Kluyveromyces lactis: one gene and its partners. The main gene of each other region encodes a partner of the protein of the gene in region 3 in a complex. Links are inferred from orthologs where the notes say so. Each region holds a gene or a part of one and is shown on either strand. Other genes may lie near its edges. The genes, in order: SME1, SMD2, SNU13, SMD1, PRP8, RSA1 and SMX2.

The links.
Region 1: SNU13 (region 3) and SME1 share a complex: the UniProt entries of both Saccharomyces cerevisiae proteins name them as parts of the U4/U6-U5 tri-snRNP complex. The link is inferred for Kluyveromyces lactis from reciprocal best matches to the Saccharomyces cerevisiae genes SNU13 and SME1.
Region 2: SNU13 (region 3) and SMD2 share a complex: the UniProt entries of both Saccharomyces cerevisiae proteins name them as parts of the U4/U6-U5 tri-snRNP complex. The link is inferred for Kluyveromyces lactis from reciprocal best matches to the Saccharomyces cerevisiae genes SNU13 and SMD2.
Region 4: SNU13 (region 3) and SMD1 share a complex: the UniProt entries of both Saccharomyces cerevisiae proteins name them as parts of the U4/U6-U5 tri-snRNP complex. The link is inferred for Kluyveromyces lactis from reciprocal best matches to the Saccharomyces cerevisiae genes SNU13 and SMD1.
Region 5: SNU13 (region 3) and PRP8 share a complex: the UniProt entries of both Saccharomyces cerevisiae proteins name them as parts of the U4/U6-U5 tri-snRNP complex. The link is inferred for Kluyveromyces lactis from reciprocal best matches to the Saccharomyces cerevisiae genes SNU13 and PRP8.
Region 6: the proteins of SNU13 (region 3) and RSA1 are in contact, whole or in part, in a crystal structure (PDB 4NUT), measured with the Saccharomyces cerevisiae proteins. The link is inferred for Kluyveromyces lactis from reciprocal best matches to the Saccharomyces cerevisiae genes SNU13 and RSA1. Residues at the interface, in NP_010888.1 of Saccharomyces cerevisiae: Pro6, Lys7, Phe9, Pro10, Leu65, Pro68, Leu69, Cys71, Glu72, Asp73, Asn75, Val76, Pro77, Tyr78, Tyr115, Lys118, Asp119, Ile121, Glu122, Leu125; in NP_015131.1 of Saccharomyces cerevisiae: Val242, Trp245, Arg246, Arg249, Lys250, Met252, Trp253, Leu254, Lys256, Ile257, Ser258, Asn259, Asn260, Lys261, His264.
Region 7: SNU13 (region 3) and SMX2 share a complex: the UniProt entries of both Saccharomyces cerevisiae proteins name them as parts of the U4/U6-U5 tri-snRNP complex. The link is inferred for Kluyveromyces lactis from reciprocal best matches to the Saccharomyces cerevisiae genes SNU13 and SMX2.

What each region holds. Positions count from the first base shown.
Region 1 is NC_006037.1:204,513-206,669, reverse strand, and holds SME1 (mRNA splicing protein SME1), read left to right. Parts: upstream 1-1,375; coding exon 1,376-1,657; downstream 1,658-2,157. Other genes in the region: mRNA transport regulator MTR10, read right to left, coding at 1-1,103; mitochondrial 37S ribosomal protein PET123, read right to left, coding at 1,938-2,157. UniProt on the Saccharomyces cerevisiae protein: Involved in pre-mRNA splicing. Binds and is required for the stability of snRNA U1, U2, U4 and U5 which contain a highly conserved structural motif called the Sm binding site. Involved in cap modification.
Region 2 is NC_006040.1:781,389-783,688, reverse strand, and holds SMD2 (mRNA splicing protein SMD2), read right to left. Parts: upstream 834-2,300; coding exon 501-833; downstream 1-500. Other genes in the region: MCM DNA helicase complex subunit MCM5, read right to left, coding at 1,176-2,300. UniProt on the Saccharomyces cerevisiae protein: Plays a role in pre-mRNA splicing as a core component of the spliceosomal U1, U2, U4 and U5 small nuclear ribonucleoproteins (snRNPs), the building blocks of the spliceosome.
Region 3 is NC_006041.1:2,008,844-2,011,042, reverse strand, and holds SNU13 (RNA binding protein SNU13), read right to left. Parts: upstream 882-2,199; coding exon 501-881; downstream 1-500. Other genes in the region: putative E3 ubiquitin-protein ligase HUL4, read right to left, coding at 1-43; GEF1 (Gef1p), read left to right, coding at 1,486-2,199. UniProt on the Saccharomyces cerevisiae protein: Common component of the spliceosome and rRNA processing machinery. In association with the spliceosomal U4/U6.U5 tri-snRNP particle, required for splicing of pre-mRNA.
Region 4 is NC_006040.1:320,463-322,641, reverse strand, and holds SMD1 (mRNA splicing protein SMD1), read right to left. Parts: upstream 927-2,179; coding exon 501-926; downstream 1-500. Other genes in the region: U4/U6-U5 snRNP complex subunit PRP38, read left to right, coding at 1-353; KLLA0_D03751g (uncharacterized protein), read left to right, coding at 1,558-2,121; KLLA0_D03740g (uncharacterized protein), read right to left, coding at 2,111-2,179. UniProt on the Saccharomyces cerevisiae protein: lays a role in pre-mRNA splicing as a core component of the spliceosomal U1, U2, U4 and U5 small nuclear ribonucleoproteins (snRNPs), the building blocks of the spliceosome. Also binds telomerase RNA and is required for its accumulation.
Region 5 is NC_006037.1:471,930-476,229, reverse strand, and holds part of PRP8 (U4/U6-U5 snRNP complex subunit PRP8), read right to left. Parts: coding exon 1-4,300. UniProt on the Saccharomyces cerevisiae protein: Functions as a scaffold that mediates the ordered assembly of spliceosomal proteins and snRNAs. Required for association of BRR2 with the spliceosomal U5 snRNP, and the subsequent assembly of the U4/U6-U5 tri-snRNP complex.
Region 6 is NC_006041.1:1,721,247-1,723,965, forward strand, and holds RSA1 (Rsa1p), read right to left. Parts: upstream 1,530-2,719; coding exon 501-1,529; downstream 1-500. Other genes in the region: KLLA0_E19317g (uncharacterized protein), read left to right, coding at 84-482; pyruvate transporter MPC1, read left to right, coding at 2,280-2,654. UniProt on the Saccharomyces cerevisiae protein: Involved in a late nucleoplasmic step of 60S ribosomal subunit assembly.
Region 7 is NC_006040.1:658,744-660,936, reverse strand, and holds SMX2 (mRNA splicing protein SMX2), read right to left. Parts: upstream 801-2,193; coding exon 777-800; intron 699-776; coding exon 501-698; downstream 1-500. Other genes in the region: GNA1 (glucosamine 6-phosphate N-acetyltransferase), read left to right, coding at 1-376; MDJ1 (Mdj1p), read right to left, coding at 1,343-2,193. UniProt on the Saccharomyces cerevisiae protein: Plays a role in pre-mRNA splicing as a core component of the spliceosomal U1, U2, U4 and U5 small nuclear ribonucleoproteins (snRNPs), the building blocks of the spliceosome.

The DNA of each region.
Region 1 (2,157 bases), on a different chromosome or scaffold from region 3:
AAATTAATAAATACATCCTGATATTCTTTTCTTTGTTGAGCGTAACGTTGTAAAACTAACATTTGCCTCAAATTAAACCAAAATGGGAAAGTATACGAAACGATATCGAGGTCAGTGTTCTTGCAAGTTAATACCAAGATGACTTCAACCAATGGTTTGAATAAGGCAGGATTCTTTGCAAGAAAAACACACCACGCTTCGCCAGCTTCAACGAATAAACGTGTGAGTGGATCCATAATCTCTTCGTATTCTTCCCAGTCAGAAATGGTTGTGATTGGCAATAGCTTTTGTTGCAAAGCTAAAAGTTGCTCGTAAAGCGCATGTATGATTGTATCGTTGGCTGCGTCTCTCGTTTCTCTTAATAACACACATAAGCATTCTACTGCAGCTTCAAAAGAATCAGAATCAGTATCATATGAAGTATGCAAGACTTGGAACACGGTGTTTATCAATGGAGTCACTTGTAATACCTGTTCTATTGGAAATTCATAACACCACGATCCAAAGCACGAAATGATTTTAGAAGCAGATATGCCTTCAGTTCCGACTCTATCCAAACATGAAATCAAAAATTTCAATACGTCTTCTCCAATGTTATCTATAAGTTCGTGTGTTCTACACTCAAATTCATCTTGGGATAGAGGAGTGGATTTGATATCCAATGTTTCCTCTGGGAGAATCTTCAAAAACAGTAGTAACTTTCCCGGAAGACCATTTAGAGTATTAATAATTTCAACTAGCGGATTCCTCCAATCAAGATACTGAATGGTAAATCGGGCTAGTGCCACGTTCAACTGTGTTACTATGATCTTCTCTTCATACATAGCGATGAACTCAAAGAGCTTTCCCTTGAAACTCTCTAATTCGGTATTGACCTGGTTTAGATCATAGGTGACTTTGTTCACTAGAGTTTGACAAGCAAACATTTGCAACTGTAAGTTGTCTGCTTCATGCTTGCTTAATACTTCGAAGCAGATTTGCCATGCTTCTATGCTCTTTTGAAATTGCTCCAAAAATTGTAAAGCTTGTATCTTCTTCTCCTGTTCAGAAACACTTTGAGTACAAATCAATGCACTCTTGATATCTGGGATTTGATACAACATCAATATTGATCAATCACGTCGTTCTTGCTCAACGGTATCTGCTGTGGCAGTTTTTATGAGTTCCTTTTATAGTGCATAAGTAAGATCAAATGTTTTGGTTGATTCAATATATAAAATTTTTTTAATATGTTAACAATAATCCTATTAAACTAATATCAAACGAATTCAACATGGCACTAGTGACTGACATTAATAAAGGATAACTGCGATCTGATTATAGTTACACTAACATCGACCTTCAATACACCGAAAGATTCTAGAAAAAGTCTAAAATGTCCGGCTCTAAAGTAGGAGCTCCTATGGTACCTCCAATCAATTGCATATACAACTACCTTCATCATCAGACAACAGTAACGTTTTGGTTATACGAACAAGTACAGACACGTATAAGAGGCAAGATCAGAGGCTTTGATGAGTTCATGAATGTGGTAATAGATGACGCTTTCGAAATAGCTGTAGATCCGAAAAGTGGTAAAGAGAGCGATGATAAAGCAGTGTTTCTTGGGAGAATTATGTTGAAAGGTGATAATATAACACTTGTTGTGGCAAATTGATAATGCCTACTCAGAAAATGATAATAGGATGAAAGAAAGATGCTTAGAGTGTAGAAGCATTGATCGGACTCTGTCGTGTAATTATATAAGCCTGTATATTATAACGGAAAAATGAAAGGCACTGAAATTTCGATAACGGCGACAAGCACTATCAAGGCTAATAAAGATATATTGTTCGTAATCTTATGGATCTATTTACAATGTGTTGCTCAGATTGGGGAGAATACCTTAAGTTCATATGGTTTCTTTTGTGTCAGTGATATTATCTAAAAGATATATCTCAAAGGACAGAGTCTTTACGTTCTTCCGCTTGTTTAGTTAATTCATCCAATTTGGTATTAATTTCCTGGTTAAATTGTTCCATCTCACCAGATAAAAATTCCTTCACAATTGGCAAACCTACGTATTTGCCGTTGCCCAAAGTACCAAATAATGCATCCGAAATTTCACCTTCGTTTCTTGCTGTTTGTTGAGAAGTCGACAAAGACAACTTATTTCTT
Region 2 (2,300 bases), on a different chromosome or scaffold from region 3:
TAGTTTTTTAAAAGAGTTCATGAAAGTGAAAAATAAAAAAAAAAAAAAAAAATATGAAGAAATATCATTCGTGAAATATCCAAACTGAGTATTCGTTACGTTAAAACGGCAAAAATAGTGATTAGCAGTATACTGAATTTGGTAAGGCAACCCCTTAGCTGTAAAATAAGGGATGTATTGGGTTGTATGGTTTGAGCCGTATTATGTATTGATATCTAGTTCTATAGAGGATTAAACGGTTCTTTTGAGCTTGAATTACGTATTTTGAGTATGCGCCGTTTGGAATTCGACATATAAAAACTAGGGAGAATCCGGGCACAGATCAGAAAGTTACATTGGTTCAATGCGGTAAAGGCTTCACAGAAGATTAATGCATCTTTGTCCTGATATTTGATCAGATTATTAGCTCTATAACCCTTTTACTTGATGCTTTCAGTGGCAGCGAACATATCAGTACACGTGACTTCAGAAAGGATGTTGATGGGATGATAAAAACAGGTTCATGTCTTTACCACTATAATCACTGAGTCCCCTCTAAGAAAGAGTTTCGCTACGAATCGCTCTCTGTTAACCTTCTTACCATTTACATTCTCTGTCCATATTTCTTTAACGTTTTCCAGAACCATGTTACAGTGCTTGTCAAAAGATTTCACACGAGCTATGAGTTTATGATTGTTCCTTAGTGATATTATAACAGGTGTCCTCTGTAGCATTGATTCCCTGATTAGAGACATGGGTCCATATTTCATTTCGAATTCTTCTAGTTGTGTTAGCTCGTCTCTAGATAGTTCAGACCTTGAAAGGTCTGTCTTTGGAATATATGTATCGGCCATCGTGTTTTAGGTCAATTTTCTAGTATATGTAACAGACAAATCCTGAAGATAAGTCCTTGGCTTATGATATTTGCAATCTCGTAAGTTTGTGATAACTTGTCCTGATTGCCATATGATATGAGAGGTTCCTTCTTTGGTCATCTCATCATCTCATCCTGTGCATCAAACCCAATATACCATCCAGTTGTTTTCTTTCGGATTATCCAATTATCATTATCATTATCCGGGTAATCTTACACTATATAAATATCAACACATAGTCGCTGAAATTCCTTATACACAGTGGTACATATGAGTTATAGACAATGTTCAAGGAGGGGTTCCTGAATTTCATTTGCAACTTCATACTCCACTTCTATAAATATTCTGACCTTGATGTCTTAGTTGAATAGAATCATGTCTTTCTAACAGGTATAACGCCTTATCTAGCGCATATTGGGGAAGTTTCTTGTTCACAACGAATTCCCTTTGCAAAGTTTTGTAACTTGTAGACCATCCTATTGGCAACCTTCTTTTCAATTCAGATTCGATTCTTCTAATTTGTGAGAGCATTGTTGTATCATTTTCCTGGGAGTTGATAGGATCCTGAGAGGCAGCATCCATCGTAGAAGCTTGGAATAATCTAATGGCTTCATCAACATGTTTTTCGGTCGCTACTGGATTCAGTTCTAATTTAGCTAAAGATTCTGTGATACGAATTATGGCTTCTAATTGACGAACTGTGATTGGAATGGAAGACCTCTCATTGGAATGTCTTTCGGACTCTTGTAATTGTTTTCTAATAGTGATGAAATGAGAAGATAATTTTGTGGCTGCTTCAGGAGATAACCTGGGGGCACATTTTAACCTACAGTAACTAACATATCTCTTCATAGTTTCTATTGGAATTTCGTTGTTGGAGTTGGAATTATCATTTGGATCGTTTTGTTGAGTTCTTCCTGTGTGAATGTTCATGACGTGGTTCGCAATTTGGATATCTCTAGCTTCATTGTGATCATCTTTAACAATGAAGATCATATCGAATCTGGACAAGATGGTAGTTTGGAAATCAATGTTTTCACCCGGTGATTTCAAATCATCATATCTACCGTAAACAGGGTTTGCTGCAGCTAAGACACTAGTTCTAGAATTCAAAACGGTAGTGATACCGGCTTTAGCAATGGAAATAGTTTGTTGTTCCATGGCTTCATGGATGGCAACACGGTCCTCGTCTCTCATCTTGTCAAATTCGTCAATACAGACAACACCACCATCAGCAAGCACCATTGCACCTCCTTCTAGGTAAAATTCCCGTGTAGTTGGATCTCTTTGGACACTTGCCGTCAAACCAGCTGCAGAAGAACCTTTACCAGATGTATATACCGAAATCGGAGAAACTTTTTCCACAAATTTCAACAGTTGGGATTTTGCAGTACCAGGATCACCAAGCAGTAGCACGTTGATATCACCTCTTAGTCTCATACCATC
Region 3 (2,199 bases):
TCTTTTCCCTACCAACAATGTGTAATGGGTTAAACTTGAACATATTCGAGCAGCTACTGATGGACAGTCAGACTTCTTCCTCTAAGTTCATTTCAACAAACTTGTAAATTTAGGGTTGGATAGTCGAAAGCACAAAAGATTGTGTCAAATTTATTACTTTTTTTTACCAACTGACAATATCATCTGGAATACACAGGCCTGTAACCATTTCTTAATTTGAACAGACAAAAAAAAACTATGTACTGACCACTAACTAGAACCATCAGATGTTGATGTCATTGTTAAGAAGGATGCAAATGTATCAAAAAGTTGTATTAATTGTAATATATATGTTTAATATACAGAGGTCGTAAAAAAAAAATCTACCTGTCGATCACTTGAATCAATGAACGTGCAGTAAATCTTTTCTTTGCTATGCAAACCCCCCACAAAGCGGTTAACTCCTTAAACGATTGATATAAAGAATAAGAAAAGGAAATCACGAAATGTGCAAATCCTTCTTAAATCAACAAAGTTTCAATCTTGTCCTTAACGGCATAGATTTGGCTTTTGATAGCAGAAGCATCGTTAGTGGTAATAGAAGCAGCAATAACTGGTCTGGAAACACCACAAGCTCTACCCAAAGCAGTTCTGGATGGAACAAAGACGTATGGAACGTTCTTATCTTCACACAACAATGGCAAGTGCAACAAGATTTCAATAGGTTCACAGTCAGCAGCCATGATAATGAATTCGGAAATACCACGGTTCAAAGTCTTGGTAGCTTCGTTAGCACCCTTCTTCAATTGTCTCATGTTGGAAGCTTGTTGAACAACATCCAAGATTTGTTGGGACAAGGTGGCATCAGCCAATGGGAAAGCCTTTGGGTTTGGAGCAGACATTATTTCTTTATAATATGAAGTGAAGTATCCGATTGGGTCAGTTCAAGTTCCTTGCAAGAATGAAAAGCTCGCTTGAATCTGGTGTTTTAAGACTAGAAATAAGATCGGATCAAGTCCAAGTCTAAAAAAAGTTTTATCATAAAGTGAGATGAGATGGAACGAGATGAGATGAGGTTAGTCTCTTGAAATCATTTTCTTTAGTTTTTCAATTTTTGAAAATTTTCGAATTCCTCGACTGATGAGCAAAAAGAAACAAATGGGATCACAAACTGGTGTAATGTACGGCTGTTTCACTATATTAATTCAGAAGAACGATATACATTCCTCCTATTGTGATCATTTGGCCATTCTCCGCCATTGCTATAGTACTCTATTATGGTCTAAAACACGCAGTCTGTAGTTGTTGTTCCCCATCGTATGCTTCATACTTCCCCAGGAAGAGCTGCTTTCACTCTCAGTTCTTTACCTAATTTCAAAGGTGCATATTTCTTTGTATTGAAAAATGTACGTATTACAATATGTAAATTTATCAACTCATTTATGAATAAACTCATAGTATTGCCCTTGACTTAGGTATGACCCAATTGATGAGCAATAGCTAGCTATGACTGACCAAGAGGTAAATGAGGAGCAGGCTCTGCGAAATATACCAGAAGTCGGTAATTTCGATAAGTTCACTTCTGTGGATTGGATTGAGGAAGAGAAGCGTGAATTGTCCAAGGGAACATCGCATGACGAATTTGATATACCGCGTTCGAGTTGGTATGAGTACCGCAGGTTAATATGGAAAAGAGGTAGCAGTTTCATTACTTTGACTGCCATTGGGCTTTCCATTGGCGGTATTGCTGGTTTTTTACAAATATTCACTGAATTGTTAGTAAACTGGAAATCTGGACATTGTGCTAGAAATTGGTTGTTAAACAAGGCATTCTGCTGTCCTAAAGAAGAGATCAGTAAAAGGAGTTATGGTTCCATAATAAGTTCGGCTGGCAATGCCGCAGAAATATTCTTTAAAAGATCCCAAAGCGAATGTATCGAAAAAGGTATTTGGGTAGAAGCAACCAATCCAATCTTTTCATTTTTGCTATTCATGTTCTTATCGGTCACATTTGCAACTATTAGTTGTCTGATGGTCCTACACATTGCACCGTTTGCCACTGGATCTGGTATTTCAGAAATTAAATCCTGGGTATCAGGTTTCCAATATACCCCGGAGTTTTTGAATTTGAAGACCCTTATAGTAAAATCTGTCGCTTTACCGCTTGCCATTTCTTCTGATTTAAGTGTTGGTAAAGAGGGACCATCTGTTCACTATGCT
Region 4 (2,179 bases), on a different chromosome or scaffold from region 3:
TGGTATTATGTTATATGAGAATCTCGTATTATTTCTTAACTGAGAGTAATCCTTCCGAGCAAGATATATCGTTCAATTTATTACATGATTTAATGAAGAAATATATACTTGATCATAGAAAATTAAAAAGTTACTCGTTAGATATGGATTGTTGGTCATCATCGATTAAAAAAGAGATTAAATTGATACATTTCGATGAGTTGATAGACTGGTTATGCGACAGGAATGAAATTTGGGGCATCCCCTTAGGAAAATGCAATTGGTGTAAAATATGGGACGATGAAGAGGACGATGAGAGCTCAAGCGACTCGGACTCCAGCTCTGATCCAAGAGATGACAGTGATCAAATTTGATTCCATTCTTTCTTTTTTTGGAGGCATCGACTGGAAAGAACGGCTATTCATTATGAAAGATAATTATCAATAGTGTTTAATCATTCATCAAAACAAAGTCCATAACATCACTACATATTTATTTCCACATATGTTTTCTGATGTATATTAAAATGCCCTCTTTGGACGTTTAGGAGCATTCCCGTTACTCTCAAGTGATCTCTTCTTATTCGGATCACTTCCCACTTTACCTTGTTTCCTCAACCTGTTGACTTCCTGTTGGTCTACAAGCAACGCATCCAAATTGATACTATCTGGTAAAATAATCTGCCTTATCGTATTACCCCTAATGTTGATGAACTCGAGGCTAGTTGTTCTCTTAGATTCTTGTCCTTGTGTCGATCCACCTGACAATAAGACGGCAGCCAAGGTAGCTTCTGAGGTCTTAGTAGGGAGTGTCAGCCTGACGTCAGTAAGAGAGACGTTCATCTGCGGTGACACACTCCTCACTATTCCCCAAACAGTGGTACCATTCTTCAACTCTATAGACACCCTTTCATTCTTTAGTTTCTTTAAGAACCCTGTTAACTGCATTTTGTCTGTATATAAAACTTCGTTGTTTCAATCGGACTAAAGATACACCAGAAAGCTGTTACCAGTTTCAAATGGTTTTGATGAAAAAGAGTTTTGAATTTTGCAAAAGTAACAGATGATCCACAAGCAACTTCCTGATTTTGATAAAAGATCAGGATTTGATCGTAGTTACTCAATTGACATATTCTACATAATGATGGATGAAATGGTTCAAATTGATACTCAAGAATCAATGGGGTCGTTCTTTCCTGGAAAAGAGTGGAAATTTCATATTATCACGTGCCTTAACAGGGTAACTCATTTGCGTGAGATTCCAATGGTTTCTTACATTCGAGCGAGCATGTGTTCGAATCTTACATGGAACCCAAAAAGTATTTAGATCCGTTGCATCTCATGTTAAATGGTTAACAGATACACGGAGAAGTGCGATAAGAAACTATCCATGCAAGCGATAACAAAACGTTCTGTCAGTCATTGCTTTGATAAAATCTGGATATATATATATATATATATATATAGATGTTAAAGTCAGATATTACTCTTTTCATATCTCATGGATCGCAAGCTTTCAAGGTTACTGCTGCTCGCATCGAGAGATTGGGAGTATTAAAGATTAACGCCAAGAGTAAACATGTCGTCATCAGTAATCTTGAAGAGATATAATATTTTACTCAAACGTAACCCGTTATTAACTAAATGCATAACAGGCGCGGTATTAACTGGGTTAAGCGAACTGTTCAGTCAATGGGTTAGTCTGTCTCCAGAGGAAAGAAAAGAGAAGCTAAATTGGATCAAAGTGGCATTGATGAGTCTATATGGTGGTCTATTTAACGCACCAGTTAATCATTTCAGTTACAAATGGATAAACGAATACACAATTAGGAAAGTGGTATCCAAATATAGAAGCTTGGTCCAGTTAGGCTGCTCATTAGGCATGGTATCGCCTATTCAAGTGTTAGGGTTACTATTTACCTTGACTTCTGTTAACAACGGTAAGGTTGACAAAACAAAAATTATACACGCAATCAAGACAAGATATGCGGCAATGTTGTCTTCCAGCTTGGCAACATCAACGGTATTGATGTCAATTGCTCAAAGATACATTTCACCAGATAAATGGTCCGTATTTTTTAGTTTGGCATACGCAATTCTGGGTACGGCTCAGAATATTTATTTGAAGAAATTCAAGAAATAAGGGTCTTGATCCATTCTGATAAAATATTACTTTCATTCTTCAAGGAAAGAATCTCTCT
Region 5 (4,300 bases), on a different chromosome or scaffold from region 3:
TCTTCGCTAAAAGCAGTTCCCATGAAAGCGTAATTCCATATCGATGACGAAGGTACCAAGAAATTGCCCATAATGCGTTCAGATAATAAAATCTGTGCAGTCTCGCTAAATGAAGCTTCAAACCCTTCTGGTGAAGGGTCCGTTATGTCTTTCGATTGTAAGCCCCAGTTGAAACCCGTAGTGCTTAACGTATATCCTGTAATTGATACGGCACCTGGGATTAGATTTATGCACAAATCAACAGCACTTTCGTTATGATCTGAAAACATTTTGGAATGAGTGATCACTTCAGATGGTGACATGAATTTGGAATCGACTTTTTGGGTATGTATCCATCCCAACAGTTCCATGTCGTTGAGATATTTGGAAGATGAGGGGGGAGGAGATATGCGAACAGTTGCGGAACTGCCGAGTTGAGGGACAAGTGCTATCGTCTTAATTTCCTTCACATTAGGGTGATCTTTTACAGGTGACCCGTACATATACCCTGCAATTTGGACATCGACATCAGCTATTGTGACAAACTTCTTCAACAAGTTCCGTGGGAATACGAGGACATCTTTATCTTCTACAAAATCTTCGGCAGTAACATATATGTTCTTAAGCTTCAAATGTAGCAATGAATTGGAGATTGCATTTGACCGCCAAGCATTTTTCGAACTGAAAGATTGGGACTCATAATTGCTGGATGACACCACTGTAATTTCTTCACCTTGAGCATTGATTGTTTTTAGCTTCATGGCTGCCGTGGCAGACTGCGACGACTCATCAGTTTTCTGATTTCTTGCAGCCTCCAATTCTGCCATCTTCTGCCTCTGAACAGATGGAGCTCTAATGTTCTGTCCTAAAATCAAATTCTTGATTTCAGTTTGAGTCAAAGAAGCAATGTTTACATTGTATTTTTGACCATACTCTAAGAGAATTAGATCACGCATCTTCGTCTCAATTTCAATCCACTGATCATCAGTAAAAGAAGGCCATAGATGATTAGCTCTCGTTGGGATTGTAGGATCCTCTAATAGAATCATTTTGGCTTTTTCTTCATTGGTTTTGAGCGCTCTTAATAGCAATATCAATCTAGAGAAAGCAGTGTAGGCAGAAACTCGAGTTAGCCAGTCATCATAAATGTTGAACAAAACCATCTGCGGTTCTGTAGCGCTTAAAACAACATCATTTAATTTTTCTATGTTCAAAACAGAAGAAAAAGGTAATCTGAGCTCAGTTGGACGAATCGAAATGTTTGGGAAATCTAACATGTGTACTTCCATAGGGTCCATCATAGCTTTTCTAGTAACTATAATTTGTTTAGGTTGTTCTTCTTTGGGTAACGATCTAACCAATGCACTTACTTCTTCTGCGGTTTTCCATTTTGCCAATTGAGCCAATCTGCTCTGCCCCGCCCACACCGAAGTGTGAATTATTTTCAAATATAGTTCACCTGTTTTCGGATTTAAAGTAAACACGCATCCGTTGATAGGCTTAGTAGCCACATTGCCTTCATAAGTTCTATGAACAGTGACCCGGTAAACATTCGTATCATCGATAAAGAATTTTGTGTCATTGGAAAATAGCTCTGCGTAGTTGGATGAGTTCAAAAATGGCTCTTGAACTTGAGATTGATATATCTGAAGACCTTTCCTGATACGCTCCCTCAAAACGTAAAGTGCTGGATTAGCTTTCATTATTGTTTTCATACCGTTGTGTATCAAGGGCTTCAATCCCTCAAACCACGTTCCATAGGAGTCGTAAATATTATAGGCCAAGTCAATACCGATCATAATACCAGTAGGAGACGGGTACAAGCTCACGTTATCTGTGGTGTAATCTAAAAATTTCGCACGGACATATCTTGATATATCATGAGAATCATAGTCACCATATCTAAGCTGCACATCGATCCACATTTTGTCAGTTGTGGTAGCGTCGAAAGAATCTTTCGTCTGATGCAACAATGTTGGTCTGCTAACCTTCCATTTGTAAATACTGTTCAATGTGATGTCAGCAGCAGACGAATTCATCTTATACGACTTACGTGGATGAATTGATTCTTTTTGAACAGATTCAATCTGTAGTATATCCATTTGGCCGTCCAGAATTTGACAGATGTCGAAAACCACACTTTCGTGGATTTTTTGCCATAGATGTGCTCGGAAAATTTGAATTAAAGATATCTTCAATGTTGGAATTTTACCGTGCAAGAATATTCCTGTTAAATCCAATTGCACCAAAAACCCAACGTAGACGTTCGCTCTATTAATCGTCGGAGACCACCATAACGTAAACCTACGATTAGGGATCTGACTCAAACCAGTTCTTTGTGCATGAGTAAGTTTCTTGAACTGCATTGAATCTTCAAAACCAGAGGCTTTCTCCCAGAAAAGTCCTTCCCATGATTTAAAGCCAGTTCCTTTAAATAATGTGTGCTCAAGAATTGTTTCGATACCCCCTAAGGCCTGAATGACATCCGTACGATAGGCATTCAAGTTCCATAATTTACCATCATGACGATTATTTGTCCACCAGAAAGCATTACTACGTTCCACTGAATACTCTTTGAATTGTCGCCTAATCCTGTGACCCTTATCATAGGCTAGCGTATGCCTATCTTTTTGGAATATGGTACTGATCCGCGGTATACCTCTATCCCAAGAACCCTCTAATTCTTCAAATGCCAACCTACGATTTTGTTTTATGGCTTCTTGTCTTTTAGCAGCATAATCCGCCCATACTCTCTGTGAGTCCAAAAATTCGTTCTCCCAGGTAGTAATGTATCGGAAAATTGTTGGTATCATCTTCTCATCTTCGTGGGACATCCCTGCCCTGAAATGTGTTATTCCAGTATCTGTGTGTTTTGACCACCTCAAGTCAGAAGCGGGAATTAAAATGTGCGATGCGCTGAGCATTCCCAAACCACCTAACTCTTTAGGTGTATAAAACACTGCTGGAGGGAACCTTGTTGGCATTTTAGAATTTAAGCCGAGTTTTACTCTATTTTGAACTCTAGTCTCAGATTTCACGAGTAAGTCGAGTAACGGTTCTGTCGTGACGATAGATTCTCTAAAATAGGTAAACAAAGCGATTAGTGCAGTATTCCATTTGCCCACAATTTTTGTAAAAGTTGTGGAGCCGGAACCCATCAAAATACTTTGAATACGACCTCTAAACTCATCAATAGCTTCTTGTGATACCTGTAAAAACGCTTTGGCAGTCCGTTCTTTTGTGGAGTCCAACACCAAATCCCATACACCCTCATCATGAGAAATGACATCTTCCATCCGAGATTTCGGTAGTATTCTCACCTCAAAACCGCACATAGTGAAAAGTAAATTAGGATTATTCTTGCTATAAACTGAAGAAAGAGTATTCTCCCACGTTATGTTAACAAGTGATTTTGGTACCCTAGATGTAAGTTCCCAGAAAACAGCACGACCTAGATTAACATCGTGTCTGATTAACCTCATGCGGGCGTCTCTAGGCCAGCATTTCTTGTTGTTATAACCAACAGAATTTTCAAAATTTGGATCGGGGTTTTCCATCAAATAGTCTTGGATAAGCTCATCAGACTCAGATTCTTCAAAGTGGAATAAAATATGGATTTTGTCAAGATAGCGTGAGTAGAGGCGAATTGGGCTCTTCGTTTCAGTAGCTTTATCTGGAAATTGCAAGAATTCAGATGGTTCGTTTGGAGGGCCTGCTAGTTCCTGTGCCCTTTCATGTCCCAAGATGAGAATATCAATCATTAAACCATAAAATTGATAAACAAATGGTGCAAATTGTAATCCCCTTATTAGACCATATTTGTTAACATGATTCATATCCTTAAAGATCAAACTGACATTATTCTTTGCAGTAATGTAATCCGCTAATGTCGGATCGATAATTAACCTTAGGAGCCTGTTTATTAGTGTCAAATCCATCTTTTCAACGAATTCTTGTAAATCAGTTTGCAACAATACGGTCGATTGCCCTTTGCTGATGTCCCATACAGAATCTAAGTTGTTAATGCCTTGACACCATTTGTAAACAAGAAGTGGCGGGATTTCTGAGTCACCTGGCTTTATCCAACTAGGGAAAAGCTGCCTTCTGTCAGCTTCATACCATAGATACTGGTCAAGATATGCATCGGTAATTTTCTCCAACGGATCAACGTTATAGACTGGAGATATGTGTTGATAATGATCCATCATTGTTAGTTGTATTGGCTTGAATAATCTTTGGGTTAGCAATAGTTTTTTAATTCTATTCAAGGTATCATGAGGATTGTCATATGCCTCTTCAATTAAAGCTAACTCTTCACGTT
Region 6 (2,719 bases), about 290 kb from region 3:
AAAGTGAAAATAGGGAAAGGAACTAGAATAGGCATCAATTCGGATTAAAAACTACACTCCCGGAGTGGTCAGTAATCCAACTCATGCAACTGAGAATGGTTGCTTCAAATAATGGAATGTTATCAAATCAAGATGAATCAACTTTTATTGATGAGCCCGCCATGAGCACTGATGGTACACAGAGAATACTACAAGTCAGTTCCCCCAAGATCGATACAGATAATCACAATATAGAGTACGAGAGTATTAAAAGCAAGGATAAGAAGAAACATAAGAAGAGGAAGAGCAAGAGGCATTCTAAAGGAAGACACAAAATGAAATATCGAGTTGACAAACCTCGGTACCACGATGATGCAAAATATGACGCTGATATTGCTGACAATAATAACGGAAAGGCATTGAATAAATTCTTCCCTGGTATCTTAATAGGAACTTTCATTGGTTCAGCTGTCACTAACTTTATATTGGAAGGGTTAAAGTAGTAAGCAAGATTTCCTTTTTCAAACCTCATCAATCGGTCTTTTCCTTGAATGGTTTCGGTATTGAGTATCACGTTGATTGAGTTGCCTATCATACCTCCTATTGGAGCGTCTATTCTGGTCATTCTTGTGATCTTTGCCTCCAAAGAGCACCTCTTTTTCTTCTTCTGTAAGTTCATATTTGAGATAATTGGCATCACCAAGTTCTTTGATGAAATCCAAGATCTTACCGTTTTCCTCTTTTAAGATTCTCTGATGAAGACCTATCGTCAAGTTTGGTTTATAATTAAACCTTTTAACTTGGTTTTGTATATTTTGAATAAAATAGCGCTCCTTTCTAGACTCCTGGAGAGGATTACGATTCAAGTCTTCGTCCTTGACGTTAAACTTTTCTCTGTACATTTCTTTCTTATTTGAAATCTTTATTAACCACATCTTCCTTCTCTCTTCTTTCCATTTTGCGATATCCTCCTCCGTTTTAAGCACTATTGAAGTTCCAGGTATATACAGATCTGATCCTTTGACGGTTTCTATGATATCTTCATCAGCAGAAGCTTCTTCTTCTTCTTCATCTTCTTCTTCTTTCCTTTTATCATCTTCATCACTTGCTATTTTATTCTCAACTAAAGCAGAATTCCTCAAATTGGTATTGGCGAACTTTTTGATAGGACCCTTCTTGGGTACTTCGATTTTGTCGTTTGCCTCTAAATTTGACTGTTGGTGCTCTATCACCTCTTCCTCTTCTTCTTCTTCCTCATCATCATAATTGATCTTGCTTGATTTTGTAACATCCACGTATGGCGGTTGCGCTTGATTAAAACCATACCAGCTCTGTTGATACTGGTGCGGATTCGGATAGAAAGGATGGTGGGTCCCATATCTCATTCCCATTGGTGCATGCTGCATAGCGGGGACACCGTATTGGTTGGGTTGATTCATCTGAGGTATCGGATAATACTGCATTCGCGTGGTTTGTAACGTATGTTGCAAAAGATTATTATTCACAGATCCGCCCTGTGAAGAGTTATTGTACACGTTTTGACCATTCATGTTGCTCGAATACTCTTCCCTGGGGCCTTTCTTCCCATCATATTCATTAATTGAACAGATAGAGATGAGATGAGATGAGATGAGATGAGATGAATAGATAATGAAAAGAAATTTCCTACGTTCACATACATAATGTTCTGGAGAAAGGTGTTGAAGTTTTAAACCGGTAACTGATGCTTCGTAAACCGTGAAACATATTCTGAAATATGTAACAGTCAAACAGGCTCATAAGGGTCCCCGCAAGTCATTCCACTGGTGCTATAGCTTTTACGCAGTGTCATCTATATCACGTGACCTTACTGATATACGTCTTCTTATTACCAATCATAAGAGAGACGGATTTTGACCAAGTTAACCACTGAGAGTAATCAGAAATCTATCCCCCAATATGTCGGCTTATAAGTTGGTGGTTATGCGGCCCCTCCATGTATGTAGTTTTATACCTCTTACTTCCATCAGCTGTGCAGTGGGTAGTCTCTCACCAACGGGTTTACCAGTGAAAATCGTATTGCAGCGGTGAATTTTTCAAGCTTCGAAACCTTGAAGACTTTTAAAGCTCAACAAAAATGTTTAAATGTTTTCAGAAAAGATTTAAAGGTACATTGAAGAACTTCTTGGTACTCGATCTGAGTTATTAGTTGGCCTCTCGTTTTCCCATTCATTCATTGTTATCCTTCTTTTTTTAGTTTGGTTTACGTTAATATTAACTCAGTAAATTATACTTCGGCAACAGTTTATAATCCCTGAATCATGTCCCAACCAGTACAGAGAGCTGCTAGTCAATCTTTGATTTCCAAATACATTAACAAGGAAACTTTAAAGTATGTCTTCACCACACATTTCTGGGGTCCAGTTTCAAACTTCGGTATCCCAATTGCTGCCATCTACGATTTGAAGAAGGATCCGGAGATGATTTCTGGACCTATGACGCTGGCTCTAGTGATGTACTCTGGTGTGTTTATGAGATATTCCCTAGCTGTTACCCCAAGGAACTTCTTGTTATTCGGTTGTCACGTTGTGAATGAAACAGCCCAACTTGTGCAAGGTTACAGATATTTAAACCATCATTATCTAGGTGGCAAGAAAGCTGACGCTACTGACGCCAATGTCGCCAAGACAGCCTAGATGCAAGAGAAAATGTAACCTGCCGACAAAACAACATTCTTTCTCCCATGGCTTAGATTACACTA
Region 7 (2,193 bases), on a different chromosome or scaffold from region 3:
TGGTGATGTGAGCCAAGATCAATTCCATTCACTAATAGACCATTGGGATTCAGTCACGATAGGAGATATACCTATGTACAATAGCACTGTGATCGTTGACACAAATGGGGAAGTTGTCGCCACAGGAAACGTGCTAGTCGAGAAAAAAGTTATTCACGAATGTGGGCTTGTTGGTCATATTGAAGACATTGCAGTGAGAAAAGATCAACAGGGGAAGAAATTGGGATTGATATTAATTCAGTATTTATACAAATTAGCTAACGAGTATGGATGCTATAAAGTTATTCTTGATTGTGATGAAAGTAATGTTGGATTCTATGAGAAATGTGGATTGAAAAAAGCTGGTGTCGAAATGCAAATCAGATTCGACAAATGATGTTGTAACCAGTGTGCGCTCTATCATATCTATCCTTCCTTTCTACTAGCATAATTCATTGTACGTAAATGTCACTAAGTAAAGTGTTCCGACACATTGAGTTGTATTTGTCTCCCTTCTGCTCTTACAAACTGTCAAGAGGTTCTATCGATACAATGGAGTTACCTCTAACAACAGTCTGGGGTCCCATTTGGACCTCTCCTTCTTCGAAAATCTGTATTGGATTATCCAGTACTAAGTTCAAAAATGCATCATATCCTCGTAATATTCCAATAATTTTCCTATTGCCGTTAAGCTGTAGAATGAGTTTCTTGTCCATGTACTGTTTGCAACGAATCATATTATAGTTAGTAATTTAAATTCTGATAAGATTTTTCCTGGAAAACAGGGGTAAACATACTTTTCTCAAATCTGGAGATGTCATGGAATATTGGATGGTTTATAATGGGTCGTACGGAAGTGATAAGTCGTAGATATAGTCTCTTAACTCTTGGCAAAAGTCCTTCGAAATTTATCTTCAGTATATTTCAATTGATGAATTTTGTACATAATTATGCTTTTTCCATTCAAAAGTAATTTTCAATGTCACAATGTTAAGAAGACAACGATGGTCAGAATAAGTTACTAAAGCATATCGACCCTTACTGAAAACATTCGTTGTCATTGGCATGAATTTCAATCCCGAGCTAAATATGGTAAGTAGGGATAACTAGTAAGAGAATATCAAAACGATAAGTATTATGCGCTAAGTGCAATTATATATATATATAGGGAAATTGGTATTTACATGATGTTAAAGGGTTTTATAAAATAATGTGCAGTATATGCAATTACTGGCTATGACTGCTGTAAGTGGTACATGAATAATGAGAATGCCAATGTCGTAATTAGTTCATCCAATCAAAGAATTATGAAAGAATGAAGGTGGAATGTATGACGGGAGAGCATATATGCGATTTAAGGATTTCATTCCCCTCTGATCTTCTTTAAAGTGTTAGACAAGAAATTTTCCAATTTCTTGATGGTTCCTTCATTGTTTTCAACTGTGTCTTTATCAGCAGAGGAAGAGTTGTCCTTAGCCGACGATCCAGAGGGAGTAATGGTCCTTCTTGCAGTGGTATCATTGGTCAAGTGGGCCAAGGTCTCCCATAGATAACGTTCTGTTTCATCCTTTGGTTTTTTGATAACAATCTTGAACTTGACAAGCATGTCACCCCTGTCACCTCTAGCTCCACGAGGGACACCCTTATTTGGAATTCTGATGACTTGATCGTGTTGAGTACCAGAGCTGACCTTCAATCTGATCTTTTCTTCCTCTACGGTGGGTACTTCAATGACGCCACCTAGTGCTGCCGTTGTAATTGGGATTTCCTGAGTGTAAATGATGTCGTAATTATTTGAAACTTGGAATCTTGTGTCTTTCCTGACTCTGACACGAATCAACAAATCGCCTCTGGTTAAATGCAATTCAGATTTCATGGACGGATCGATAGCCATACCGGGGTAACTACCTTGGTTAGGTACTCTAATTGTGTCACCGTCCTGAAGTCCGTGAGGTAAGTCTACGGTGATAGTTTTATTTGAATTCAATTTGAAACCGTGGCTATGACAGGTACCACATTTATCGCTGTCCTTAATAGTTGAACCCTCACCATCACATGTTTGACAAGTAGAGGCCATTTGGAAACCTGCTCTTACATGTACCTGAGTACCTGTACCATGACATGTAGGACAAACACTTCTCGAATGTCCAGCTTTCAACCCACTTCCATCACATGACGAACACGGATCGTAGCATTGGTAATTCAATTTGACAT